Tamandua tetradactyla: one gene and its partners. The main gene of each other region encodes a partner of the protein of the gene in region 4 in a complex. Links are inferred from orthologs where the notes say so. Each region holds a gene or a part of one and is shown on either strand. Other genes may lie near its edges. The genes, in order: NUP188, NUP205, NUP160 and E3 SUMO-protein ligase RanBP2.

Region 1 (7,433 bases), on a different chromosome or scaffold from region 4:
ATATTTATATATTTATTTATAAACCTGATTTAACAAAAAATAAAGGAGGAGGAGAAAGGCTTTATTTAAAATGAAATACATTTTCTACCTACCAAGGATAGCTTCTGGGTTTGCACAAAAACTAATTAGACAACTACCACATGACCCTCATACCTAATAAAGTGATTAACAGTATATCAAAATTAATGGCAAGAAGTTCATAGAGACAGACAGAATATGCAAATTCATAGAGACAGAAAATGGATTAAAGGGTATCAGTGACAGGGCTGAGGGGCTGAGGATGGGGAGTTAATGCTTAATGGGTACAGAGTATGCTTGGGACAATGGAAAGGATTTGGTAATAGGTGGGGACACCAATAAATCTAAGAACTTCATTAGCTTAGTGTCAGGTATAACAAAGGATATTAAACACACATTATATAACCAGCAGAAGGGAAGATGGCACTAAAGGGTGTGATACTAACTGGAGTCTACAAAGGAACATAGTTGTATAGAACAGAGTTAAAGAAGAACGAGCACACTGGGGACTGATCCAGATCAACAAAAGGTTTCACCTCAAATTGGAACCTGAAGGTTTGAGCAGGTGATCCTCAAAAAACATAACAGATACAGCCGGAACGTAGAGCTGTGATGTCTAATCCAAAGCTACAAGGGCTTCTATCTATATTTTCAGGAATTTAAACATGTGCTGCAGCGTCTCTCATTTATTTGCATAATATATACTAAGTATCTGGAAAAAAAACTAAGGCACAGAATTAAATAACATGCCTCAAATTCAAAGGTAAATTTAAAAAAATTTACAGACTTTCAGTACATAAACAGACAAAATAGAATTCTATTTTTGCAAGAGTTGGCAATAAGCAGACTGGAAAATTATATTCCTTAGAGAGATCCATCTGGCGGAAAAGCTCTGTGAAAGCTACTGGAAGTTAGGAATAACAGTTTCTACAATTCAGTCCTTTTGGTTGGAAGCTGAGACACAGCCAAGCTACTCTGATAGCTCTTTTGAGGAATACACTTAAACTCCACCTGGAAATAACAGAAGTTGCCACTGCCCATGGATGCTCTGACTCCACAGATGAGATACAACCTTCTGAGATTTAAGCTTAGAAGCAAAAGCTTTTCAAATTGAGTTCTATTTTTCTTTAGTACACCTACACCACTTAGACTTCTACAAAACTCATTAACTGAAAAGAACAAGAGAGTCAAGAAAAAAATGACAATATTCAAAATGACACTCTGCCAATTCCAAAGTGGCCTTCCCCCCAAATTTTAAGAGTATCACTCCATTTCTGACTAGTGCCAGCTTGTATTAACCATACGCAATGACTTTCCTACAAGAACATGTTTCTGAGATACCTCAGTACTCCTCTGGAATGGATTCAAATTTAGAGATCTGGAGTCATCTGCAAATTGGCAGACACCAGGAACAGAATTTGTTTTCTCACAGTCCTGATTTCTAGATATTCCAAACAGGGGAGAACTGTATCACTCTTTTTAATATTTCAGTATAATCCCAACTGGTTGATCATGACTTCTGGCACAAAAACAAAGATCATTCTCCATGAGCAAAGTGATGCCTAGAAACACTACTGTCATTTATTCCATTTTTGGGTTTGATTTTTGGTAGGTTTCCCAGTATGATCAGGGAACTCTTTCAAGCAAACCAAAGCTTTCCTTCTCTTTGTCCTCTCTCATTAAGAACATGCCTTCCCCTACAGGTGCTGAACTTCTACCAAGCTCAGAAATGACTATGAAAAAGGCCTAAGAAAAGGAGGGCACAGTGGTCACAATGCTGCCTAATATAATGCTGACATGAAAAGGCAGGGTAGAAATAGGCAAACGGATCTTCACAAATTATAGACATAGTCTAATGGAAATTGCAAAGAACAAAATTTCACTTCCAAATGAGGGGGTGAAAGAAACAATATCAGAGAAGATGGGCGACATCGGTACTAAATATTTACTGAAAAACTATTATATATTGTTCTAAGTGCTAGGGATACAGCAGTAAACAAGACAAATAAAAAAGGGGGGGGGGGGCAGGGACACTACAGGCACAATAGGTAACAGGGATGGAAGACATTCCAAGCTGTTGTGTGGATGATAGGGGTGTGGTGGTTTGGTTTATGGCCTTATGGCATTAGAGTTGACAGACTTGGGTTTAAATCCTCATTTTACCACAGTCAGCTCTGAGCGCTGGGCTTCTGAGTCATCTGTAAAGCAGAAGATGCCTGACAGCATTGTGAGAATTCAACGAGATATGCATATAAAACGCTTCGCCAGAGTCTGGCATTGTTAAGTACTCTATAGGTGAGAACTATATCATTCGTTTTAATATTTCATCTTCTTGTTCCCAAAACCTAGCATAGTGCCTGGAATCCAAGCATGTACGCTGACCAAAAAAAACAGTGGGACGAAATTAAGTCAGCGCAGAAATGAGGGTGGAAAATGCAGGGAGGTAGCTCGGCGCCACACCAAACATACTTCCTAATGAGAGCACATGGGAGAACGTGGGGACGGGAAAGGCCCAGCCGTCAGCGAGGCAGGCCACAGGGACTCGGCCGCGGGGGTGAGGTGGGAGATTCCTCAAGGCGACCGCGAAGCGCTCCGTCGTGCCTCAAAGAAGCGTCACGGCCGGACGAGGAAGCGCAGGTGGTGTGCCAAGGGACTTGGCCCGCGAAGAGAGAAGAGGAAGGCGAGGAGGCTTAGGTGAGAAGACGGAAGGCCCGGCGCTAAGAGAAGGGGTGAAAACCCGGCCCTCCTCTTGAAGAAGTCCCCTCAGGTCCCCGCGCGGGGGACCGTTTGGACGTAACTGCCTCTCGTCTCGGCGCCCGTCCACCCAGCTGGCCTTCACTCCACTAAAGTCACCACATTCCGCACCAAACTCCCGCCCTGCTCCTGCTTGGACCCTGCACCGCCCAACCACCCGCGCCGGCTCTGCCTGCTCCGCACCTCACACACAGCCCGCCGGCGGCCGCCGCCATCTTCGCGCGCGCGCGCCCCAGCCCCGCCTCCAGACGCTGCGCCGACGCGTTCACTCGCTTCCAGGCTGGGTGCGTGGGGTGGTGCTTTCTGTCACGTGAAGGCGACACCGGGCGGAGCCAAAATGGCGATACTCCGGTGGTGAGGATTCTGCGGTGAGCGTGGAAGAGGTTGTGAGGAAGGCGGCCGAGCGGCTATTTTTACGCCTCAGGTTGGAGGCGGTGGACTGTGACTGGGCACCAGCTCCCAGGCTGCAGAGAGTGACCTGCTGTGGAGCTTCCTTCCTCGCAGCTCGTGAACAGAGGAAAAAGGTTGCTTGCTGGGTGAAGTTGCCTCCCTCTACTTGGCGGGGCAGACGGGTCCGGAGTGCAAGGCATCCTTAGTCACTTCGGCTTATCTGGGGCTTCAAGTCTAGGAACATGACCCGAGATTGCGCTCCTCCGGCCCCCGGAACCGGGGCTCCGCTGAGCGGGTCGGTGCTGGCGGAAGCGGCAGTGGTGTTCGCCATGGTGCTGAGCATCCATGCTGCGGTGTGGGACCGCTATTCGTGGTGCGCTGTGGCCCTCGCAGTGCAGGCCTTCTATGTCCAATACAAGTGGGACCGGCTGCTACAGCAGGGAAGCGCCGTTTTCCAATTCCGAATGTCTGCCAACAGTGGCCTACTTCCTGCCTCCATGATCATGCCTTTGCTTGGACTGGTCATGAAGGAGCGTTGCCATGCTGCGGGGAACCCATACTTCGAGCGCTTTGGTATTGTGGTGGCAACCACTGGCATGGCTGTGGCCCTCTTCTCCTCAGTGTTGGCACTGGGCATCACTCGCCCAGTTCCTACCAACACTTGTGTCGTCTCTGGCTTGGCTGGAGGTGTCATCATTTATATCATGAAGCACTCGCTTAGCGTGAGCGAGGTCATTGAGGTCCTGGAGGTCCTACTGATCTTTGTTTACCTCAATATGATTCTGCTGTACCTGCTACCCCGCTGCTTCACCCCTGGTGAGGCACTGCTGGTGTTGGGCGGCATCAGCTTTGTGCTCAACCAACTCATCAAGCGCTCTCTTACCGTGGTGGAGAACCAGGGAGATCCAGTAGACTTCTTCCTGCTAGTGGTGGTGGTAGGAATGGTTCTCATGGGCATCTTCTTCAGCACTCTCTTTGTCTTCATGGACTCAGGCACCTGGGCCTCCTCCATCTTCTTTCATCTCATGACCTGCGTCCTGGGCCTTGGAGTGGTTTTACCTTGGCTACATCGGCTCATCCACAGGAACCCTCTGCACTGGCTCCTTCAATTCCTCTTCCAGACAGATACCCGCATCTACCTCCTAGTCTACTGGTCTCTCCTGGCCACCTTGGCCTGCCTGGTGGTGCTGTACCAGAATGCCAAGCGGTCATCTTCTGAGTCCAAGAAGCACCAGGCCCCCTCCATCACCCGAAAGTATTTCCATTTCATTGTGGTAGCCACCTATATCCCAGGTATCATCTTTGACCGGCCACTGCTCTATGTGGCTGCCACTGTATGCCTGGCAGTCTTCATCTTCCTGGAGTATGTGCGCTACTTCCGCATCAAGCCCCTAGGTCACACTCTGCGGACCCTCCTTTCCCTCTTCCTAGATGAACGAGACAGCGGACCACTCATCCTGACACACATCTACCTGCTCCTGGGCATGTCTCTTCCCATTTGGCTGGTCCCCAGACCCTGTACACAGAAGGGTAGTCTTGGGGGAGCAAGGGCCTTAGTCCCCTACGCTGGTGTCTTAGCCGTAGGTGTGGGCGATACTGTGGCCTCTGTCTTTGGCAGCACCATGGGAGAAATCCGCTGGCCTGGAACCAAAAAGACTTTCGAGGGAACCATGACATCCATATTTGCCCAAATCATTTCTGTGGCTCTTATCTTAATTTTTGACAGTGGAGTGGACCTAAACTACAGTTATGCTTGGATTTTGGGGTCCATCAGCACTGTGTCCCTTCTAGAAGCATACACTACACAGATAGACAATCTCCTTTTGCCTCTCTACCTCCTGATATTGCTGATGGCCTAGTTGCTGTGCAGCAGCAGTAATAAAGGAAACAGAGACATGAGGAGGATGAATGGCCCCCACAGCACCCAGCCTCTTAGGCAAGAAGAGCCAAGGGGTGAAAAGAAGATTTGCTTTTTCAGTTGATTCAGATTTAAAATAAAAATCAGAGTTCTCCAGGTTTTAGTTTTCTGATGTTTTAAAAGAAAACAGGCTTAAATGATACTGAATCAGCTCAAAGAATTTGAGTATGCTATAGAATCCCCTTCTCTCACCTCATAGTTCTCAGGGAGGACCAGAGTGAACACTGGACGCAGTAGAACATAATGGTTGACACTTAAGATCCTGGTGTCAAACTACTCTGGTTAGAATCCTCGGCTGCACTACTTATTAACTGTGTGACCTTTGATGAGTCACATAGTCACTCTGAGCCTCAACTCCATCTACAAGATGGGAATAATTGTTTATAGGGGTATTGTGAGGATCCAATGAGATGTGTATGAAGTATCTAGCCCAGGCCTAGGCAACGAGCAATAAGTAAGGGAAAGTGTCATTATTGCCCAAGACCAGTCCTCATCTTAGCAAAAAAGCATTGCAAGCCAAGAAATTTGTCTTGTACTTGGAGATCAGAGTGAACTTTACTCCTATGGCTTCATTTAGAGGAGGAGAAGGCATGTGGTATCTCCCAGTTGGATTTGGAAGAGCTGAAGGGGAGAGGTGGGATAGGTTTGGGGCATAGTATAAAAGAGCTGGAGGAAGAGGATCAGGTCCTGAGCTAATGTCCTGTTTAAGCCAGCCCCACCCATCTACCTCCCACTTCCGAGGTCTCTGCTGCCTGGCTAGGTGTGCTGATGGAGAAAAATGGGCTGGACAGTACAGGGTCCTTATCAAGATGTCCCTCCTTAGACCCTCTCACCCTCCGGTCACGTCCAAGTCTGTTTCTTCCCTGACAACAAATTAGAGCCTAGGACAGGTCCATAAGGGCTGCAGGAGTTTCCATAGCTCTACTCTGAACACCTCTGCCTAAACAAGGGACCCATGCTTCAGCCTTGCTCTTGGGAGAACAGGGTCTGGGCCTGCCTGATTCCCCTATAGAGCCTGGCACATAGCTGAACTTGGTAGACATTTGCTGAGTGGATGAACATTTCCCATCAATGGGAAAATAACAGCTGGTTACATGAAACTAAACAAGTTTCTCCCTTCTCACCTAGCCTAGCAAGGAGCCTAGCAGGAAGAGGTGATAACTTTGGCCTGCCAAGGCCAGAAACCAAGAGCAAAGCCCAGGAGCTGTTACCGGCACCTTATGCTTCTGCCTGGAAATTACTACCAAGTTCCTTTCCTTCAGAGGAGATTATTGAGACCTTCCTTTGTGCCCCAAAGGAGACTCAACAAACCTGATCCTTCTCTCAGTTCCCTATTACTGCTTGCCAAAGAAGGCAGCAAAATGTTGGGGAAAGAGCCCCAGCTTTGCCCCACTGGCCTTGGGAAAGGGCTCTTTTCTTGGCCTTGGTGTGTCCAGTGGTGGGTTAGACTAATCAGGGTCACACATATGCCTGCAGAGACCAGGTAGGTAATGCAGATAAATGAGGACTGAGAAAATACGAACTCTGCTGGACCAGAGAACACATGCCTCTAAGGAGGCAGCTCCAGCCAATAGATGCCATGCTAGAATGTAGGCCCTAGGTTGTCAAACTTCCCCTGTTCAAAAACCCTGGTAGAGCTCCCAATTTAAAAAAGTTTTGTTAAAAACAAATCTGCAGTCTAGATTCAGCCAGTATCCCCCAGTTTGCAACTGGGCCAGACCCCAGCTTATTAGGTTTTGGGATTGGCAGTTGTTCCCACTGAGGATTTGGGTGCCTGCCCAGCACATCCTAGTCTGCCCCCCTTATCATATAGATGGGGAAACAAGCCCAGAGACGGGAAGGGATTGGTCTCCTTCCTACCTCCCCAAGCAGGGAGGATTGGGTAGTGTAGCTCTTGGGAGTGCAGGCTCTGGAGCATTCTGAACAATTGAATGGCTGACTTCAGCAGGTCACTTAACTTCTCCAGGCCTCAGGTCCTTGATTTGTAAGTACAAATGCTAAGAGCAAGGAATTCAGAGATAGGTGTGAGAAGCCAATGAGCGGTAAAACAAAGAAAACTCTTAGCACAGAGCTGGGCTCACTGTGAGTGCCCAGTAAATGTGACGTTATTAAAATCATATAGTGTGTTCCAGGCCAGGCCGGGGTACCTGGGATGATTTGCAGGAGGGCTGTCAAGACAGCAAGGCTGCTTAAGAAAGAAAGAAACAAGCTGCATTTGTAATTCATTTTTATTGTGTCTTGCAGTGTACAAATCAGAGTTCTACCTTAGAAGAGATAAGAGTGAGAAGCCGAAGAGAGGTGACCAGAACCCTTTCATGGTTCTGGGAGAGGTGGTATTGGGGCAGTATGGAAG
Region 2 (6,928 bases), on a different chromosome or scaffold from region 4:
TTCAGTTTTATCTTCAACTTGGCTAATTTTAGTCAATATCTGTTATTGACTACAAATGAAAGGAGGCTATATACTTTTTCAGATTACCGAAGATGTGGGGGGTTTTATCTTTTATTAATAGACTTTATTTTTTGGAACAGTTTTAGAGTTACAGAAAAATTGAATACGTAATACAGTTTCCATATATCCTCCACCTTATACAGTTTCCCCATGAAGATGTGGTTTTGTTTGTTTGTTTGTTTGTTTGTTTGTTTGTTTTGGGTGCATGGTTCAGGAATCAAACCCAGGTCTCCCACATGAAAGGCAAGCATTCTACCAGTGAGCCACCAAAGATATGTTTTTAACATAAGTGATTTGCTCATTTTAGAAATACATTTATTTTCCTTAAGTTTTGAGAGAGCCTTCCAACAAGTTACCATTTATTCACTCATTCATCATGTATTAAATACTGTAAGCTTTCAAATCTAGTGAGAAAACACATTAATTATATAATCACATATAATTGCAAAATTCAGCTGTGGCAAGTGCTATGAAGTAGAGGTATCCAGGGCATGAGATCACTTAACAGGATTTGATCTAGTCAGGAAGGTCGGAGAAGGGAAAGTTTCCTTGAGGAGCAATGAGTAGTCTGAAATCAGGATTTGATCTAGTCAGGAAGGTCAGAGAAGGGAAAGCTTCCTTGACGAGCAATGAGTAGCCTGAAATTCCAAGGATAAAAGTGGAAGTTAACTGAGGGATGGGATCTGAGGACATGCATTTCTGGAAGCCAGAATGTGTGGGTTCCACGACAACAGGGAACACTGCACTGAACTGAAAAGGTCTCAGGAGAAGAGAGCTGGAGTGCAGAAAACAAAGGTTTAGCAAAACAGGCAACTGCCACACTATTCAGTCTCTCAGGCCATGATTTTGGTCAAGATGGAGCTTGAAAATGTCTGCTGGATTTAGTGAAATGGAAGAGCATGTTAATTTTAACTTAGGAAAACAGAACAGAACCCTCGTGGGTTGAAGAAAAAAAGTCAGTGAGTAGTGGCTTGTCTTTTGAGAGAAGAGAGAGGGCAAGGCTTTATTATACAATGTATACTCTTTGCAGCTGTTAGCAACTTCTTTTCCTTTTTTACTTTTGCTTCAATGATTTGGATATAGTGATACTAACTTGGGATAAGTACTTACTCAAAAAATGTTTCTAATCACATACATAACATACAAGCCTTACTTTTAAGTTTACATTTGTGGACTGTATGGTGTGTGAAGCTATCTCAGTAAAAATATTTTAAAAAAAAAAAGTAAGATACAATGACGATTGTATACTTCAGATGGAGTGTGTGGTGTGTGAACATATCTCAATAAAATTGCATTAAAATAGTAACAGAGGGAAAAAAAGGTTATATCAAGTTGAGGGAAGGGACAGCAATATTAAGGAGCTAAGTTCATTATTAACATTGAAATGTATGAAAATTGGATTAATAAAATGAATCCGGTTATAATTAGTAGTACGCAGTTATTTAAGCAGGTAAGATTGGTTTAGGATCATTAGTTACACAATCTTGTGGGAGTTACTGCTCTAAATTTCTATTTCCAATTGGGGCATTTATTAGCAGCTACCTCACAAGTACAAAAGGGATTATACTTGCATTAAGTGAACTAGTGCAAGTACAATATTTATTCCACTGCCTGGGACAAAAGTGCTCAATAAATATAAGCCTTCATTATTACAAAATAACGTGTCAGTATTTCTTAAATAGTTTGATTTGCAACTTAGATTTAGACAACCTTTCAGGAATAACAGTTTGTGAAAGCAGAATAAACCATTAAAAAAAAGTGTACAGAGACAGAAAGAAAAGGTGCCCACGAAGGAGTCCTTTTCGGTGAGATTCTGCACAAGGATTTTTCACGCAAACATTCTCTTAAACTGTGCACAATAAAGCTAAGTGCGGCTCAACCCGGGTGTTACTGACATTCTGTGCAGGAAACTCGTTTCCATAACAGTCCTGCCCGGTGCGAGACTTGAAGCATCCTTGACCCGCCCACTAAATGCCAGTAAAGCAACCCAGGAATTGTGACAGTCAAAATGCACCCCCTCTTTAAAACGCCCTTGTGGGGTGGCACCGCCCCGGGTCGAGAATCACCAAAAGAGGCCCCATCCCAAATCACCTAGCGTTCTTTTTCCACCTCTTACAATCTGCATTACCGCCATCTACTTTAGCCCCGAAGACCTACTGTCCCAAAAGTACTGAACATCTACTGTCGGATCACAGCCGCGGATCTCGGAATCATCTGCTGAGCCCGCGACAACCATTGCCTAGGCACCTTCGCCTGGGAACTCCGGTACTTCTTTATAGATTGGAGATTCGAATTTGCTCAGCCTCCGCTGGTGACTGAAAACTATCCCGGGTCCTCTGACCTCACTGTTGAAGACTCGACATATATTATGGCGAAATCCGGGCCACAGGCACCTCACGACGTGGGAATATAAGTGGGGATGGGAGGACCCAGGCGGTCCTGGGCCGTGAGATTGCAACACTGTTCCTAGGTACCACTTCTCATTGCCCCGACCCTCAAACCCCAACCCAAAGGATAGAGCCGCAGCGCCTACGCGCGCCATTCAAACAGGAGGGGCGGGCCCCTAGGCCTAGAGCTAGGGAAAAATATACACCGAGTACAAGTGGGATGTCTGGATACCAAGGAACCTCATAGCCCAGGTTATTCCACAAACAAACGATCACCGCCCTGCCTCTCCGTTTTCCTTCTACCCCGGCCACACTTACCCGAATTTACCGCCAACAGCGTCGCCATCTTGGAGGCGCACTAACGAAGCCCTCCTGTCGCTCGGAGGCCCCAGAAAGGGTGAGGCTGCCCGACGAGGCGCCTGAAAATAAAGGCCCCGCACTGCCATCTCTAAACAGCGCGCTGGGCTTACGCGGGAGTATGAAAAACTGAAAAATATGCTTTGAGCCACAAGCAGCAATTTTTCACCGGAATTGTTCCCATTCACATAGGGCAAAGGCAACCACGTCGGAAATGCAAGGTCCTCAACTTGACGTATTCGTGCAGTGCATCCTGGGACCTGTAATTTCTTCCTAATGATGCGTCAAGTGCGTTATGTACACTGGAAGAAAAGGTTTCCAAAGACAAGTTGTTGAAATAACGCATATTTATGATATTATAAAATCCATGAAATCAAATAAAATTATCTAAATTTTATGTTAAATCTTCTTTGCATAGCTCCGTTACCTTGGGACGTGGAGTTGGGTATGAGGTTTCAATACTTCTAAAAGTCATTTGACCTGTTACAAACAGGATTTTCAGCACATTTCAATATACAAAGTATACTGCATCAACATAATTGCATGGAGTGAAACAAATCATAACTTTTTTTACTAGAGAGGTTGTAGGTTTACAGAAAAATGCAAAAACTACAGTTCCATACACAACCCACTCCTGCCCCTCATGCACACATAGTTTTCTCTATAATTAAGACTTAGCATTAGTGTGGCATTCTGTTAAACTTGATGAAACAATATTATTATAATTATACAATTAACTATAGTTCATAGTTTATATATAAGTGAGCTCGTACAATTTTTTTTATATTGAATCTGGCTTTTTTCACTAAATATGATGTTTTCAACATTCATCCACTTTGTAACATGTATAAGAACTTCATCCCTTTTTATGGCTGAACAAGGTTCCATTGTACACATATAGCACATTTTGTTTGTCCATTCTTAAATTGATGGACCCTAGGGTTACTTCCATCTTTTGGCAATTGTGAATAATGCCGCTATGAATAGGGGTGTACAAATACCATTTGAGTCCCCCCCTTCCAGTTCTTTTGGGTCTATACCTAGAACTGGAATTGTCAGGTCATATGCTAATTCACACTTAACTTTCTAAGGAACTGCCAAACTATCCTCCACAGAGACTGCACCCTATTACAATGTCACCAATGTTGCCAATATACTGGGAATGAAATGGTATCTCATTGTGGTTTAGATTTGCATTCCCCTAATGGCTAATGATGTTGACCATATTTTCTTGTGCTTACCAGCCATTTGTATATCATCTTTGGAGAAATAGCAATAAAAATCTTTTGCCCAGTTTTTAACTGGATTGTGTTTTTGTTATTGAATTGTAGGATTTCTTTATATATACTGCATATTAAGCCCTTAGCAGATATGTGATTTTCAAGTATTTTCTTGCATTCTCTAGGTTGTCTTTTCACTGTCATGAAAAAATTCTTTGATACCGCAAAAAATTAATTTTGATGAATTCCAATTTATCTATATTTTCTTTTGTTGCTCATTCCTTTCAGGTAAAGACTAAGATACCACTGCCTAACACAAGGTCCTGAAGATGCTTCCCTATGTTTTCTCCTACTGTTTTATAGTTTTGGTTAGCATATTTATATCTGTGATACATTTTGAGCTAATTTTTGAATGTAGATATCCAGTTTTCATTCTTTACACATGGATATCCCATTTCCCCATTACCATTTGTGGAAGAGATCATTCTTTCCTGACTGAGTGGAAATAGCACACATGTCAAAAATCAGTTGGAGTCTTACTCAAACTCGTAGATAACTGAAGGAGGAGGGAATGCTACCTAACTCATACTATGGAAGCAATACCATCCTAATATCAAAGCCAGATAAAAAAAAAAAATAAGAAGGAAAATTACAGACCATTCTCCCTAATGACATGGGTGCAAAAATCCTCAACAAAATACTTGCAATTCAAATCCAATTGCACATTATAATAATTATACACCATGATAAAGAGAGCTTTATCTCAGGTGTGTAAGGGTGGTTCAACACAAGAAAATTAATCAATGTAATAAATAACATTTAAAAATTGAAGAAGAACCACATGATCGTATTGATTGATGCACTAAAAGTGTTTGACAAAAAACCAGAATCCCTTCTTCATAAAAACACTTTGAAAAATAGGAATAGAAGAAAACTCTCTTAACATGATAAAGGGCACATTTGAAATGCCCACAGCTAATGTCATACTCAATAGTGAAAGATTGAAAGCTTTCCCACTAAGATCAAGAAAAAGATAAGCATGTCTACTGTCACCACTGTTATTCAATATTGTACTCGAAGTTCTAACTAGAGAAATTAGTCAAGAAAAAGAAATAAAAGGCATCTAAATTGGAAATGAGGAAATAAAATTTTCACTATTTGTAGAATATATGATGCTATACCTAGAACGTCCCCAAAAATCTACAACAAAGCTACCAGACCTAATAAATTAGTTCAGCAAGGGATATAAGATTAACATGAAAAAATCAGTAGTGCTCTATACACTAGTAATGAACAATCTGAGGAGAAAAATAGGGGGAAAAATCAATTTACAATGGCAACCAAAAGAATCAAATATCTAGAAATAAACAAGGATGTACAAGATAAGTATTCAAAAAACTACAAAGCATTGCTAAAAGAAATCAAAGATCTAAATAGATGTTCATGGATTTGGAAAACTAAATATTGTTAAGATTCCACCCAAATTGACTTACAGACACAATGCAACTCCAATCAGAATTCCAAAGTCCTACATATAGAATTGGAAAATCTAACTCCCAAATTTATTTGAAAGGGTAAGGAGCCCCTTACCCCTTGAGATGAAAAATGAAGTTGGAGTACTCTCATTTCCCAACTTAAAGCACTTTGCAAAGCTTTATAAAGTGATAAAATAGCATGGTATTGGCATAAAGATAGACATTGACCAATGGAATTGATTTGAGAGTTTAGAAATAAACCTTAAGATCTAACATGAATTGATTTTTTCACAGTAATAAAAAAAGTTCAATGGCATAAGGATAGACATATTTATCAATGGAATAGAAGAGAGCTCAGAAATAAATACATGTATCATGGCCAATTGACTTTTTTTTTCAAAGTACACTTCAACAAGTAGTTACAGAACAGATTTCAGACTTTGTTATGGATTACCATTCCACTATTTCAGATTTTTCCTTGTAGTTGCTCCAAAAGACTGGAGGCTAGAAGTATTTTTTTTCTTTTTTGTGAAAAATAACATATATACAAAAAAGAAATAAATGTCAAACATAGCACAACAATTAGTTGTAGAACAGATTTCAGAATCTGGTGTGGGTTACGATTCCACAATTTTAGGTTTTTACTTCTAGCCGCTCTAAGATACTGGAAATGTCAACGTAATGATTCAGCAATTGCACTCTTTTGTTAAACCCTACCTTCTCTGTATACCTCTACCATAGCCTTTGATTCTTCTCCCATTCTTGAGGGGTATTGGGGCTATGCCCATTCTAACTTTTTCATGTTGGAATAGGGTATCGATAATATGGGATAAGGAGATAAAACTAGCTGGTGTTCTGGAGAGATTGGCCCCTCAGCAATCATACTCTTTTGTTAAACCCTACCTTCTCTGTATAACTCCACCATTGCCTTTAATCTTTCTCCCACTCTTTATGGGTATTTGCGTTATGCTCATTCTAACTTTTTCATGTTGTAAGGGGCTGTCAATAATATGGGTTAGGGGGATGGAACGAGATGATGCTTTGGAGAGGCTGGCCCCTCTGTGTTTCAGGATTTATCTGGTCCAGGGACCATCTGGAGATTGTAGGTCTCGAAAAGTTACCCTAGTGCATGGGGCCTTTGTAGTATCTTATATAACACCCTAGGTGTTCTTTAGGATTGGCCGGAATAGTTTTGGTTTGGTAAGGTATGGTGGGTAGCAATATCTAAATGAAGCTTGCATAACAGTGACATCCAGAGTAGCCTATCAACTCTATTGGAACTCTCTCAGCCACAGATATCTCATTTATTCCACTTCTTTTCCCCCTTTTCTGGATGGCATTACTGATCCCACGGTGCCAGGACCAGACTCATCCCTGGGTCAATCGATTTTTCACAAGGTTGCCAAGTCCACCCAACTGGGACAGCACA
Region 3 (7,235 bases), on a different chromosome or scaffold from region 4:
TGAACCCACTCCGCTCAGGCATCTGCCCCACCAGTCTACTGGAGCAGTTTCTGCCAAGGCTACCAATGACTTCCACAAGGCAAAGGTCAATTTTCATTTCTCATCCTACCCAAATCAAATGTGGTGTTTGACAATTTTTTTGCTCTCCTCCTTGAAACACTTTCCTTAAGATTATGAGACAACACTCTTTCACCTCACTGGCTATTCCTCCTCAGTCTTCTTCACTAGTTCCCCATTCCTGAATGCTGGAGTGCCCTGGGGCTCAGTCCTCATACTTCTCTTCCCTCATCTACACAAGTGACACTCAGCTGGGATAATTTTCCTCCCTTCCCTCCCCACCAAGGACATTTAGCAATATCTGGGGACAATGCTGCTACACCGGGGGCGAAAGCAGGAAGAAGCTTGGCGGCCCGCAGCGGTCAAAGGCTGGGGAGGCTGCTCAGTATCCTGCGGCATCCCCTCTGACAAGGAATGACCTGGCCCCAAGTGCTGACCGTGCTGGGATGAGAAACCTCAGGTGATCTCATTCAATATACAACAAGCTTAGATGCCATTTCATGCCAACGATCCCCCAAACTGTATCTTCCACCCATCCTGTCCACTGAGCGCCTGACTACTGTCTGAAGATCTCCACTTGGAAAGACATAGCAAACTAAACTCACCCAAAACCGAATTCCTGCATATCAAGCTCAAAAAACCAAAAATATCTGTTTTTCTGCACTATTTCCCATCTGAGTTAATGGCATCTCACAACTTCCAAATGTTCAAGCCAAAAATCTTGGGGTCACCCTTAACTCTTCTCTTTCCATATACTCTACATCTGATTCATTAGTAAATTGTAATAAATTCACCTGGAAAGCATATCCACAATCAGACCATTTCTCACTACTTCCATCCTTTCCCCACTACATTCTATTGCTAATACAGTGGCCACAGTGATCAAGGTTTTAAAACACAACTTAGATCATGTCATTCTTTACTTAAAATGCTCTAATGGCTTCTTCCCATCTCATCCAGAGTAAAAAGCCTAAGACTTAAATAAGTGACAAAGCTCTGATCTGGCCCTGGGATATCTCTCTCATTGTTCTACTATTCATTCAGACTCCTGACACCCTGCTATTCTTCTGAACACGACAAGCTCCCTTCTCACAGTTCTTTGCATTTTTTTGTTTCTTCTGAGAATACTCTACCTGAAATGCTCCTCCCTTGGTATCCTCACTTTCTCTGCTCAAATAGTCTACCGACTTCTGAGTTCTGCCTTACCATTCTATGTAAAACAGTAATTCCTGTAAGCATTTCCCTTTCCTCTTGACTTGCTTCCTTGTTCTCTATTCCATTTACTGTCACCTGACAAGTTCATTTACTTTTTTTGTTGTTGTTGTTTTTTTACCTGTCTCCCTCCATGAGTGTGGAGAATTTTTGTCTGTTCTGTTACCCCTATATTCCCAGTTCCTAACTGTAGACTGGAACATAGCAGGCACGCAAAAATATTTCTTAAATAAACGAATTCATATTTCTAATACAGGTCTCTCTTCTGAGTCTCAAGTCTGTAAATTCCAATACCTACCAGATATTTCCAAGGGCTGCAGCACTGGTACCTCAACTTTAGTATGTCCAAAAGAATTTCTCTCCAAACAAGTCTCTGTATCTCAGTAAATGACACTCCCACCCCTCACTTCCTGTTAGTCACATCAGAACACCTGGGTTTTTGTCTCTGTTCCCTCCTTTTCCCTTACCCCTCCCAACTCCATATTCAATTTGTCACCAAGTCTGAGTAAATCTAACTTCTAAATGTATCTGGAATCCATTTATTCTGTTTTCTAGCCACTACCACAATCTGAACCACAGCATCTCTTCCTTGGACCATTGTAAAAGGAAAGTGTTCTTGTGTAACAGTCCCACTCAATCCAAGTTCATTTTCCAGACATTGAGACCAACTGCTTAAAAATGCAAATCTGATTGTGTTAAAAACTCTTTAAAAACACTTTTTTAATGACTGCTCGATGTACTTAGGATAAAATCCAAAATCCTTAGAATGGCCTGACATATAGAAGTTCAACAAGTGTTCGAAAAATGAAGGAAGCTGTCAAGTGCTATGAAAACAATGGAACAAGTAAGCTTTCCTTATTGAGAAGCAGAAAGTCCTTGTGAAAGTGTGGAAGGCACAGAAACATAGTTAGCTAAATTAAAAAAAATAAAGCGTTGCTCGATTATAAAAAGAAATAAAACACCACCACAGTAAGTTCATGCTTAAATCCTGGTCTTCAGGGATTTATCCCTAAGCTCCATTCCCTCTGCTTTAGACTGGGGTGGGGATGGGATTTCACGCCTAGAATTCTGGGCCACTCTAATTTTTCTCCTGATTCGGAAATGAATTGCAAACAGTCTTTCTACTTTGCCAGATGTCGATTACTGCTTCGCAGAATGACGGAAGAGCCAGGAAAATCCAAACTCCGAATAACCGTACCTTCTAGAAGGGTGGACGAGACAACACTTACCAATGAATGAATCTGTTTCTAGTGATGGAGAATAACTTGCCGCTTTCCACATAGTAGAAACCTCCCGCGCTCTCGCTGAATTTCACCGCTCCCGCCACGGCATTTACGGTCCCTGGAAAAGGAGGGTGGTCAGTGCGCACACGAGGTTCTCGGGGGATGACAGGGGCTAAGTGCGCCGAGGGAGCACAGAGTGACGGGCTGACAATCCACACAAAGGGAAGGGAAAAGGAGGAAGAAGCCGGACACTGGGGAAGATCCGATCCAAGGGCCAGCAGAATGTGGACTGAGAAGATGAACCCGGCGAGGTGGACAGAGACCCGGGGAACCGTCGGAAGGCCGCGCGCTCTCTGGGACCGCTTCCGTACCAACGCTGCAGACCGTAAATTCCCGAAAATGCCTCTGCCTCTCGCGCTCAGCTCCCACTATCTCCACGAAGCTCCGTTCCAGGGCTCCCGCCGCCGCCATCTTCCCGCGCCGCCGCGAGGCCCGACGGGACACGGCAGGGCCAGGTGGTCTGCGTACTTCCGGGGTGGGGCTAGCGGGGCTGCCGGCAGAGGCGAGGGCCGCCCGCCGCTTCCTTGAAGGCTTCCACAGAGTTGCCAGGAGACTGCAAGGTGGGCAGAGAGGAAGCGCCTCTGTCTGCAGGAACCAACGAGTGGCCGGCTAAGGTGCCTCAGGCGGGCTTCGCCCTTTTCCCGGCGGCCTTAGCGCGCTGCGAGGCGGGGCCTCGCGGGCGCGGTCCTGTGCGTGGTCTGGCGCCCTCTGCGGGTCTAGCGCCCTCAGCCGGTCGGGCGGCCGCCGCCTCCGTAGGTCTGTCAGTCTCCCTTCGCCTGTCAGGGCGGTATTGGAGGTGACAAGGGACCTTCTGTGTTGTATTGGATTTTCTCACGCGACTGTGTTCGTTTTTTCTTGAATAATGACACTCGATGTGTTAAATGAGAAGTTGGTGCCGCGACCTGCTCAAGTTTCGTTACGGAACCCCCAAAAGAGGAGCCGGGCTCTCGTCCCGGCTGTCGAAGCCGTGGGCCCGATTCTGGGCAGAGCGCCGTCTGGGTGCCGAGGACCATGCGCGTTTTCAAGGCGGGAGTTTCTTTCTTCACGAAGCCGGGCTTTGCTAAGGTTTCCGCGACCCTCGCCTGCCGTTCTGTGTGGCATCCGCCATCACTCAGCGAGGCAGCCCCTGAACCGCCTGCCCTCCGTGGCTGCCTCCTCCTTTTCACCGTCCTGCGTTTCCCTGAAAGTTTCTTGCGCCTGCTTAAATTCCATTAGGTTACCCCCTGGCTCGCTCTGTTCACGATGCTTTAGTTGAAAACCTACAACTTCGATGAAATCCAAATCTGCCTTTGACCAGGGCTGGAGAAAAAGTAGACGCCCTTAGGACGTGCCTCGCTCTGACTGCGTGAGGCGCCTCGTGTTCCGTGTCCGCTATTTCCTCAGCGTCCTGGAGGAGTATTTCATAGCTCTCTAACCCCAGCACCTCTTCCCTGGCCTCGCTTAGAAGGTGGACGCAAACGGGAATTCCCGGAGGGTTCTTCCCCGCTGCCGCATCTCCCCACCGGGCCGCACCTGCGCTCGTGGGGCTGCCTTGCCCGTCCTGCTGCTGCAGGTGGAATCTGGTGAGACACTCTCGCTGCCTTTCACTGCATCGCCACGTGCCTGCGGTCCTTCCTCTCTCCTACCGCTTGGTTTTTCCCTTTTCACTGGATTGGTCCTTTATGCATGCAAACTTGCCGTTATTCCCCCCCCCCCCCCCATAAAGAAAGCCCTTATTCGTCTCATTCTTTTCAGCTTCGACTGCACATCTCCGCTGCTCCCTGCATTTACAGCAAAGTTCAAGAGCGTTCTATCCAATTCCTGTCTTCCTGTTCTCGCTTAAACCTGCTTTTTTAAGGCTTTGGCTGTTACTGCTCTCTGAAACTGCATTTTGGAAGATCATCAGAGACATTCACGTTATATATCTATAATGGAATTCTCATTTCTAAACTTTACTTGACCACCTGCAGTATTTGACCAATTGACTGCTCCTTCCTCCTGGAAATACTTTCTTCACTTGGCTTTTAGGACACCCCATTATCTTGGTTTCCTCCTGCTTCACCAACTTTTCTTTTTTAGACTTTTTTTTTTGCTAGTTTCTCCTCTTCTCCTAACCTCTTAATTTTGGAGTACCCAGAACTCTGTTTTTTTTTTTTTTCTTGCATTTTTTTTATTGTGAAGTATAACATATACAGAAAAGTGATAAATTTCAAAGTTTAGAGTAAGTTTCAAAGTGTGGTGTGGGTTACAGTTCCACAATTTCAGATATCCCCTTCTAGCTTTTCTAATACACTAGAAACTAACAAGAAACATCAGTATAGTGATTCAGTAGTCACAGTGATTTGCAGATACTATCTTCTCTGTTACAAATCCTCCCTCTCATTTGATCCTTTTCCCAATCTTCAGGGATATTTGGGCAAGGACTGTTTCTAACTACTTTGCATTGAAGAGAGATGTGCTGGTTTGAATCTGTGGTGTACCCCAGAAAAGCCTTTAATCCTCATTCAATATTGCTGGCTGGGAGCTTTTTTATTGTTCTCATGGAGATGTGACTCACCCAATTGTGGGTATTAATTTTTTGGTTAGAGAGAGATGTGACTCCACCCATTCCAGGTGGGCCTTGACTGAAATCTTTTAAAAGAGGAAACATTTTGGAGAGACTCCCTTTTAGAGCAACGAAAATAATGAGAGCCAGAGTTCACGCTGCCATTTGGAGATGAAGAAGGAATATATCCCTGGGGGGAGCTTCATGAAACAAGAAGGCTGAAGAGAAAGCTAGCAGAGGGCACCATGTTTGCCACGTGCCTTTCCAGTTGACAGAGAAACCCTGAACTTCACCAGCCTTTCTTGAGTGAAGGTAACCACTTGTTGGTACCATTATTTGCACATTTTTATAGACTTGCTTTAATTGGGACATTTTCATGGACTTAGAACTGTAAACTAGCAGCTTATTAAATTCCCCTTTTTAAAAGCCATTCTGTTTTTGGTATATTGCATTCTGGCAGCTAGCAAACTAGAAAAAGTGCCAACAGAGATGTGTAGAGAAGCCGTATGAAACCAGGACTCAGACACTTGAAGAAAAGAAATCTTTGGCCCCAGACGATACTAAATTATGACATGAAACCCATAGTTTTGCCCCAGAGAAGCTAAGTGAGGGACACACAGATGCTTGGAGAGAAAGCCGCTGGAATCAGAAGATGGAAGCAATGAAACAAGAGCAAGGACCTTGGATGCCTGCCACATGCATTCCCACTGATGCAGGACAGATATCAACCTTTCTTCAGAGTTGAGGTATCTTTCTCTGGATGCCTTAGGTTGGACATTTTTAAGGCCTTAGAACTGTGAACTTGTAACTTAATAAATCCCCTTAGAAGTCAGTCTATTTCTGGTATATTGCATTCCGGCAGCTTTAGCAATCTAGAACAAACTCTTAGGCATATTTATAGGTAGGCTTAGCCTCTCATTACAGATAAAAGTTTCATAAGAAAAAGCCTCAAGATCAAGGGCTTGACCTATGACTTGGGAGTCCCTAATATTTGAGATAGTATCAGGTGTTTCCCAGATAAGGAAGTTTAACAGTTCCATATTTTTTCTCCAGTCCCTCTAGGGATTTTGCCACTACTTTTCGGCTATTTACCCAACATACTCTGGAATGTATTAGGGTACTACTTTAAGCTATACAGAATTACAAGATTGCATTGCCACTTCTAGGGTCCATATGTTTAGGTTGTTTAAATGAACTGGCCAAACAGGTTAAGTTAGATTGTGTGCTACATAAAATTTAAGTTGTGGACAAAATAAGCATCTCTTCCTTTGGTCAGATACAGTAGGTGGAGTTTTAAAATATAGCAATATCATTGTCATGGTTAGGGACAGGTGTCAACTTGGCCAAGTTGTGGTTCATCTGATTGGGCAAGCACTGGCCTGCCTGTTGCAATGAGGACATTTCATAGGATTAGGTCATGATCACGTCAGCTACATCCACAGCTGATTCCATTTGTAATCAGCCAAAGGGGAGTGTCTTCTGCAATTAGTGATGCTAAATCCAATCATGGGAAGCCTTTTAAGGAGGACTCAGAGGAGACAGGTGGCATTCCTGCTTTGGCTGGTGAGCCTCTCCTGTGGAGTTCATCCAGGCCATCCATTGGAGTCATCGGCTTCGCAGCCTGCCCTGTGGATTTTGGACTCTGCATTCCTACGGTCACGTGAGACACTTTCATAAATTTTATATTTGCAAGTGTTCCCTGTTGATTCTGTTTCTCTAGAGAACCCTAACTAATACATCTTGGTACCAGGAGTGGTTCTTAAGGAACAGAATCTTAAAAATGGGTTTTTATGAATGGTTTTCTACTCTGACTGGGCTCAGAGACACTAAGGACTCTGATTCCCGTAATCAGAATGACACACCCAATCCATGGACTGAGTTGGCAAAGGAGATAGTCAAAATATCATCATTCGATTCTCCTAATGCTTCGCTTGTACGAAGCCAGACTCTGGGGGATAATGTTTTTGACACCTTTACAGAGTTTTGTAGAAATAAGAGTTATAGAGATGTTGGTTGGTTGTTGTTAGATACACTGTCTACATTAAAGGAAGAAAGGGATGGGCTTAAGGCTTCAAACAAGAAGCTTAAGTGCCGTCTGAAAGATTTAGAGGTTTCTATGAGTATCCTGAAGGAAAATTTTATTTCCTGTAGCCGTAGAC
Region 4 (7,055 bases):
CCTACAGGAGCTAAAAGGCAAATGCATAAAATGTCATGAGAAATCAGCAGTTTGGACTCATAAAGGCGGGGGGACTGAGAAGTATAGTAACATAGTGTACACTAATGGAGTTAAGTTGGTATCTAAGCAAACAAGATTATTATAGATTTTCTATGTTAAATTTAAGTCCTGTGGCAACTACAAAAAAAGTATCAGAGAACATGAAAATTCACACAGCCAGAAATTAGAATACAGGTTGCCAGGGTGGGAGATAAATGGAATGGGAGTTGATGCACAATAGGTTAAGGGCTTCTGTTTAGAGAGATGGGAAAGTTTTAGTAACGTAATGCGGTAAAGGCACTGCAATAATGTGAATGTGATTAATCCTAGCCAATGTTCAAATGTGACAAAATTTAAAATTGGTGGGTAAGAGTATCTGGGAAATAGGAGTATATCAGAGTTCCCTTTATGGAGTTCGTATTATTTATGTTAACTGTTCTCTTAGGTTTGAAAGTATTTAAAAATAAAAAGTTAAAAAAAAAAAAAAGGATACTCTTCAAGGGTAAGAGATATGTGACCACAATAATAAATCCTTAAAACTGTGCACCACCCTTATTTTATTTGATGAAAAAGTCAGGTAGCTGAAAGAACATTCCCTATGTCATTCTAACTTCTGTCTAGACTAGTCATTCTTTTGGGAGCCAGGGTCCCCATAGATAATCTGATCAATGCTCTAAATCTGCTTTAAAAAAAAAAATCATATTCATCCACAGCTGCGAATCTCCCTGGCAATGTGGGATATGACTCCCAGGGATGAGCCTGGCCCTGGATGGTGGAATGGACAATGCCTTTCTGACCAAAAGGGCTTAAATGTAACAAAATAAAATAGCAGTGGATAAGAGGGTTCAAACAGAGCCCAGAGACATTCTGCAGACTACTCTTATGCAAGCTTCAGCTAGGTATTGCTAATTACCAAGATGTGCCAAGCCCCAACCAACATCATTCCTGTTAAGCCTAAAGAACACCCAGGGCTCTATCTGAGATCCTACAAAAGTTGCACACAGTAAGTTTACTTTTCAGAAATCTAAAAACTTCGTATGGTTCCTTGGTCAGATAAATTCTGAAACCCAGAGATGCCATTTCTCCAAGAACATCAACCCATTACATCCCCCATCCCACGCTGTCGACACCCCTTTTCAAGACGAAAAAAGTTAGAATGGCATAACCCAAATACCCCTAAACATTGGGGGGAGAAGGATCAAAGGAGGAGTTATAACAGAAAAGTTAGAATTTAACAAATGAGTATGACTATGAATCATTATATTGCTATTTCTTTCTAGTCTCCAATGTCTTGGAGCAGCTAGAAGGAAAAACCTGAAGTCGTGGAACTGTAACTCATAACAAACTTTGAAATCTGTTCTATAACTGTTAAAATATACTTTGAAATTTATTGTTTTGTATATACATTATATTTCAAAATAAAAAATGTTTAAAAAGCAAGTCACATCACTCTAAGGGTACAAAAACCCTTAAGATTCTTCTACACTCTACTACCACACTTACATTTATGTCTACGTAAGCAGTTGAAATAATCTGTAGAGAGGTACTTATTTCTCCCCTCCTGAGGAACAGGATATAACGTAATCCACTGTTCCTAAATTAAAATAAACCTGGCCCATGTCAAAATCCTGCAGTCACCTATGAAACCTTACACAAGTACCTCCTGATATGCATCTGCAGTTGTTGGGACACTAAACAAGAAAAATATCTGGGATGTAGAATAAGATTATATTGCTATTATAATCAATCATTCATGCGTTTTCTTGTTTTTTTTAAAACTCCTTTCAACATTAACAATAAAAATAAATTCCAGCAAACACGTAATTAGCCCTTCTATGCACAAGCACTAACATGCATCACCCTATCTTATCCTATCAATGCTGCACCTCCACCTTATTAAGAGAAAACAGTTTAACTTGTCCCAAATCCAGGTAAAATGACTCCAGATCTTGTGCAAGCCCACATGTAATACCTTTTTCCTCACTCTCCACATCCAATCACTAAAGTTCTGCCGAATCCAAAATATATTTAGCACATTATTTACCTTAAAAGAAGAAAAATACCGTAAAAGCACGTTAAGGAAATGGGTTAAAATTTTTAACCAGAGTAAGTAACAACGTCCTATTAGAAATTTAGAATTCGCGAGGAACGTGTGTGTGTGTGTGTTTGTGTGTGTAGAGTGGCAAAAAAAAAAGACGCTTCCAGAGAGTCCTGGTGGGGAGGGGGGGACAACAGAAGGAGGGTCAGGACCCTTATAAATACAGCGCCGGACGCCTCAAGCCAGGGGAATTCAGTCTCATTTGCGCTGTGTGTCAAGCACTTGCAAATGTGGCTTTCCATGCTCCGTTCCGTTAGGTGACTACGACGATCACCTGTCTCAGTAGTAAATGCCCACCCTCAAACTGCGTCAGTACTGGGTTCCACTTCCAAGCATGGGAGTGGTGGAGGACGCGCGGGCCATAAACGGTGCGCGAGCTGCCGAGAAACCCGAGCCTGGTGGGCCCGCCAGATAGGTCGGTCGGGAGCCGACCAGGAAGAAGAGGAAGCTCTGATGCCAACGGCCGCTCGCTGGCCGCTGGGCCCCGCGCGCGCGGTTCCCGAGCCCTGCGCCCCTCCCACACGCGCCTCCCCCGCCCCGCACGCTCTCGAGCGCCACGCAACCCACGGGACCGCGCTGGCCGGCTAGCGCCTCAACGGAACGAGGTAAGCAGCAGCCGGCAGGGAGCCATTAGGCCGGCGCCAGTGCCGGGCATCGGGGCCTCCGCTGGCCCAGGGCCAGATCCACCCCTCTCTTGAGCACTCACTCACCTCTCGGGGCGACGGAACGGAGCCCTGCACGGAGGCGATGTACCGCTCCACGTCGGCCTTGCTGCGCCTCATTGCGCCGACGTCCGAGCTCCCGGTACGCGGAAGGCCGACACTGGGGCCCACAGCGACCGGCAGGCTCAAGGAGCAAAGCGCCTAAAAGCCGTGACGCAGCGCCGTCGCCGACTGAAGAGCGGCATGACGTACGTGCGTGTTGCATCAGCACTGTGCGCCACGCCGACGACGGTGGCGCGTTGGGGCGGTGCGCCTCGCCGGCTCCCCCCACCACGCACTGCCCGAGTCGCGTCTGGTTTCTGGGGTTTTGTCCGGAGTTGGTGCAGTTACGCCACTTCCCGGTGTTCTTTGCTCACCGCCCTCTAAAACCGGTTGCAGGTTTGGGCTTTCTCCGCCAGGGCTTCCTGAGGATGAGGAACAGGAAAAACATTCAATACCACAAATGAGTCAAGGAATATTAACCAAATTGAAATATCAATTTACCAAAGGTCTTTTTTAACGTTTTGTCCCTTTCTTCTTAATTACACATTTGTGTGGAAGGAAAAAGCACTCATACCATTTTGGTGAACCTTTCAATTGGAGCAGTCTTTTGTGTTGGACACCTGTGTATCCGAAGCATACAGTTTTTAAAAGCTTGAGAAATTTTGTAGGTGTGTGATTGAAAGGTAGGCCTCGAATACTTTGTTTTAGACGATGTTGATTTTTGTTGAAAACTTTATAAAAAGCCCTAAAATTTATGCATATTTCATTAGAACAGGGTACATAAAAATTTCAAGATGTTAACGTCATCTGTATATTTCAAATCGTCAATAGTGTGTACTTTTGGAATTTGAATTTTTAAATTTTAGATCAAAGCCGGCGTTTTCAGGGGTGAAGACATTTTTACGCTTCGAGCATGTCTGTGTACACCGTGGGGTCTTGAGTTTGTGGGAAAATATCAAACAGGAAATATGTTCACATTTATAACAAGATTTGGCATGGGTAATTTTTATTCTTATGGTTTTTCCATATTTTCCAAGGTTTCTATAACGAACAAGTATTACCTTTTATAAAGATGGAAAAATAGCATTTCGTTTTGTTTTGTTTCGATCATATTGAATGCATATGAGGGAAAAGGAAAAGATTGCTGGGAGGCTTCTAGACTGACTGAGGTGCATTAAGAATAGTATAAACTAGAATCTGGTTTGGAATGGAAGATGGTATTTTAAGTAATTGATTCATTTCAGTTGAGATATCAGTTATATATATCCTGTTGAAGATGCCTGGTAGGTAGAAGAAATGGTAGGTCAAAGATTCAGGGTGGACTTGGTACCTGGCTTGGAGCTCATGAGCCTCAGGTGACAGTTAAAAGCATGAATTTGCCTTGGAAAGTGTTAGTAAGAACACCCATAGCTAACAACTAAGCACTGTGTTCCATGCCCTTTTCGTAGCGCTTCATATGTATTAGTTTATTTAATCCCCCCAACCGCTTTGTGAGCGGCACTACTATACATTATCATCCTCAGTTTAACAAATTAGGAAGCCAAAGGAGTGAGCAGGAAAGCAACTTGCCGAGCACCCTTTCCAAGTAAAATAAGAACGATTAATCTGCTTAAAATACTGAAAAGAAGTTGACCAAAGAGGGAACCTTCTTGAGGAACTCAAATGCTTTCCTTGAGTAGGTTTATTAAGCTTCAAAACCCAATTTCATCAAGTATGAGTCTGTTCTTCTGGGCTTTAGAAATAGGCACTCTTCTTCATGATGTCTGTTCCTTCCTCAACATAGACCAGTTCCATCCAAACCTGTTCTGACACAGAATTATCCTTTCCCCCAAGTCACACACCTGGTTGTAATGTTCTCTCTTAACTGCTCCTTTAGTCATTTTGATGCTGTGCATCAATTTGAATGAAGCATGAATCCATAAAAACCTGACTTAGGACATTTTTCAGCAGCAGCAGTTTTACCTGATTAATCTCCTGATGACTTCTGAATTAACATTGAGCTAATAATCATCCAATATTGGTGCTGATCGAACTTAGGAGTTTTTCCTTCTCCTTAAGCACCTCTACCTTGTTGCTGGTTACCATCCATTGCATAGACACAGTATCTTTCATGTATCACATGATTCCTTTCTTCTTCAGCTCATTCATACTGTCAATTTGTCCTGTCGTTTTCTCAGCACTCCAAATTTGTATGATCATATAGGAATCCTTAACTACTGCTTACTATAATGCACTTTTCAATGCTCTCATGGCTTTTGAACTTAGAATTGATGAGGTTAAAAATGTTCACAAAAAAATCTCAAAAACAAAAGGAACCAAATGACTGCAAATTACTACTGACAATTATGTACTTGCACATAATTAACTTGTTTTCATTTTAAACTTTTGCTTTGACTGCATCTCTGAAATTAGAAGCTCCTACACATTCTGCTCTTGATATCCATACCATCTAAACTGCTTTATGTACAGAAGGGGCCTTTTCACACATAAATTGAGGAAGGATTTGGAACTATCACAGGATAGCACAATGCTGCCTGAAACCATATGGGGAAAAATTTGTACAAAATCATGAATTAGGGGATATATGTGTATATATCTGTATGATATACCTTTGTTAGTATGTATTTGTGGGAAATGGAATCCCCTCTATCAGTGCTAACAGAAATATAATATGACCTAATACGTAATTAAAATGTTCTAGTAGCCACATTTAAAAAAGTAAAAGGGAACAGGAGAAATTAATTTTAATCTTTTTTCAACCTAATATATTCAAAATGTAATTTCAACATATAATTGATATAAACACATTATCCATGAGCTATTTTACATTCTTTTTTTGTACTAAGCCTTTAAGATTTGATGTGCATTTTACATTTGCAGGACATCTCAAATCAGACACTAAACTTTCATAAGAAATGCTTGATCTGTATTTCTATTTCATAAAATTTAGGGTTGAAAAAATAGATTCACATACCCAAGTTGTTCTAAACATACTTCAATGTTTTCCAATAGCTTAATCAAATATCATTTTGTAAAATTTTAATTTTAATTAAAATTTAAACTCTTCACCCTTGGTTCCTAAAAGTTCACTTTTGAAAAAAAATGGTGCAGGCAAAATCCAGACTGCCCATGGTTAAGGATAGATTAAGTGGTAAGGAAATGGACGTACAAAGTTTTGGTTACTTTTCTAATAGAACTTACCTTGGTGTCTTTGGTAAAATATCATGTAGAAAAATTGTCCCTTTTTTGGGCAGATAGTTCTATGACTATTAAGACATGTATAGATTTATGTGTCCACTACCACAGTCAGGAATCAGGACAGCTCTGTCATCCCCCCAAAACTCATTCATGTAATCCCTTTGTAGTCATACTCTCCATTCACCCCTTAACACTGGTCATTTCTCCACACTGTAGTTTTGTCTTTTCAACTTTTCAAGAATGTCATAAAAATGGAATAGAATCATATTTAACCTTTTGAGAGTGGCATCTTTTACTCAGCATAATACCTTTGAAATCTCTACAAATTGTTGCATTGTATCAGTAATCTTTTTTTGTGGACCTACCACAGTTTTGTTACCCATTTTCCAGTTGCAAGACATTTGGGTTGTTACCACTTTTTGTTGATTATGCCTAGAGTTGCTATGAACACTTACCATCTATACGTTTCTCAACAAGCACAGATGTTCATTTCTCTAGGGTAAGAGTCAGCATATGGCCTGTGGGCTGGCCACCTGCTTTTACAATGCAGTGACAGGAGTTGAGTAATTGTGACAGAGAACTATGGCCAGCAAACCTAAGACATTTACTATCTGACCCTTAAAAGAAAAATTTTGCTAATCCTTGTTCTAGAATAAAAACCCAGGAGTGGGATTGTTGGGTACCATTGTGGGTATATGTTGAACTTTATAAGAAATTGCCAAACTGTTTTCCAGAGTGGCTGAATCTTGTTTGCATTCCTGTCAGCAATGCATGAGAGCTCTGCATCCTCACCATCACTTGGGTATACTCAGTATTTTTTATTTAATTCATTCTAAAAGGTGTGTAATGGATCTCATCCTGGTTTCATTTTAGCCCTTAAAATGTTAGACATCTTTTCCTGTGCATATTTTCCATTCATTTATCCTTTTTGTAACCTGAGTTTTAGTTTAGTTGTTGCCCATTTTTCAGTCAGGTTGTTTTCTTATTGTTGAGTTCTGATAGTACTTTATGTAGTC

Evidence for each region.
Region 1: E3 SUMO-protein ligase RanBP2 (region 4) and NUP188 share a complex: the UniProt entries of both Homo sapiens proteins name them as parts of the nuclear pore complex. The link is inferred for Tamandua tetradactyla from reciprocal best matches to the Homo sapiens genes RANBP2 and NUP188.
Region 2: E3 SUMO-protein ligase RanBP2 (region 4) and NUP205 share a complex: the UniProt entries of both Homo sapiens proteins name them as parts of the nuclear pore complex. The link is inferred for Tamandua tetradactyla from reciprocal best matches to the Homo sapiens genes RANBP2 and NUP205.
Region 3: E3 SUMO-protein ligase RanBP2 (region 4) and NUP160 share a complex: the UniProt entries of both Homo sapiens proteins name them as parts of the nuclear pore complex. The link is inferred for Tamandua tetradactyla from reciprocal best matches to the Homo sapiens genes RANBP2 and NUP160.

The regions. Positions count from the first base shown.
Region 1 is NC_135328.1:51,772,214-51,779,646, reverse strand, and holds the start of NUP188 (nucleoporin NUP188), read right to left. Parts: upstream 3,006-7,433; 5' UTR 2,988-3,005; coding exon 2,956-2,987; intron 1-2,955. Other genes in the region: DOLK (dolichol kinase), read left to right, coding at 3,405-5,021. UniProt on the Homo sapiens protein: Component of the nuclear pore complex (NPC), a complex required for the trafficking across the nuclear envelope. Required for proper protein transport into the nucleus.
Region 2 is NC_135327.1:178,270,882-178,277,809, reverse strand, and holds the start of NUP205 (nuclear pore complex protein Nup205), read right to left. Parts: upstream 3,018-6,928; 5' UTR 2,794-3,017; coding exon 2,766-2,793; intron 1-2,765. UniProt on the Homo sapiens protein: Plays a role in the nuclear pore complex (NPC) assembly and/or maintenance. May anchor NUP62 and other nucleoporins, but not NUP153 and TPR, to the NPC.
Region 3 is NC_135334.1:124,603,016-124,610,250, forward strand, and holds the start of NUP160 (nuclear pore complex protein Nup160), read right to left. Parts: upstream 3,007-7,235; 5' UTR 2,964-3,006; coding exon 2,864-2,963; intron 2,611-2,863; coding exon 2,499-2,610; intron 1-2,498. UniProt on the Homo sapiens protein: Functions as a component of the nuclear pore complex (NPC). Involved in poly(A)+ RNA transport.
Region 4 is NC_135343.1:73,417,385-73,424,439, reverse strand, and holds the start of E3 SUMO-protein ligase RanBP2, read right to left. Parts: upstream 3,025-7,055; 5' UTR 2,920-3,024; coding exon 2,848-2,919; intron 2,743-2,847; exon of another isoform or gene 2,667-2,742; intron 1-2,666. UniProt on the Homo sapiens protein: E3 SUMO-protein ligase which facilitates SUMO1 and SUMO2 conjugation by UBE2I. Involved in transport factor (Ran-GTP, karyopherin)-mediated protein import via the F-G repeat-containing domain which acts as a docking site for substrates.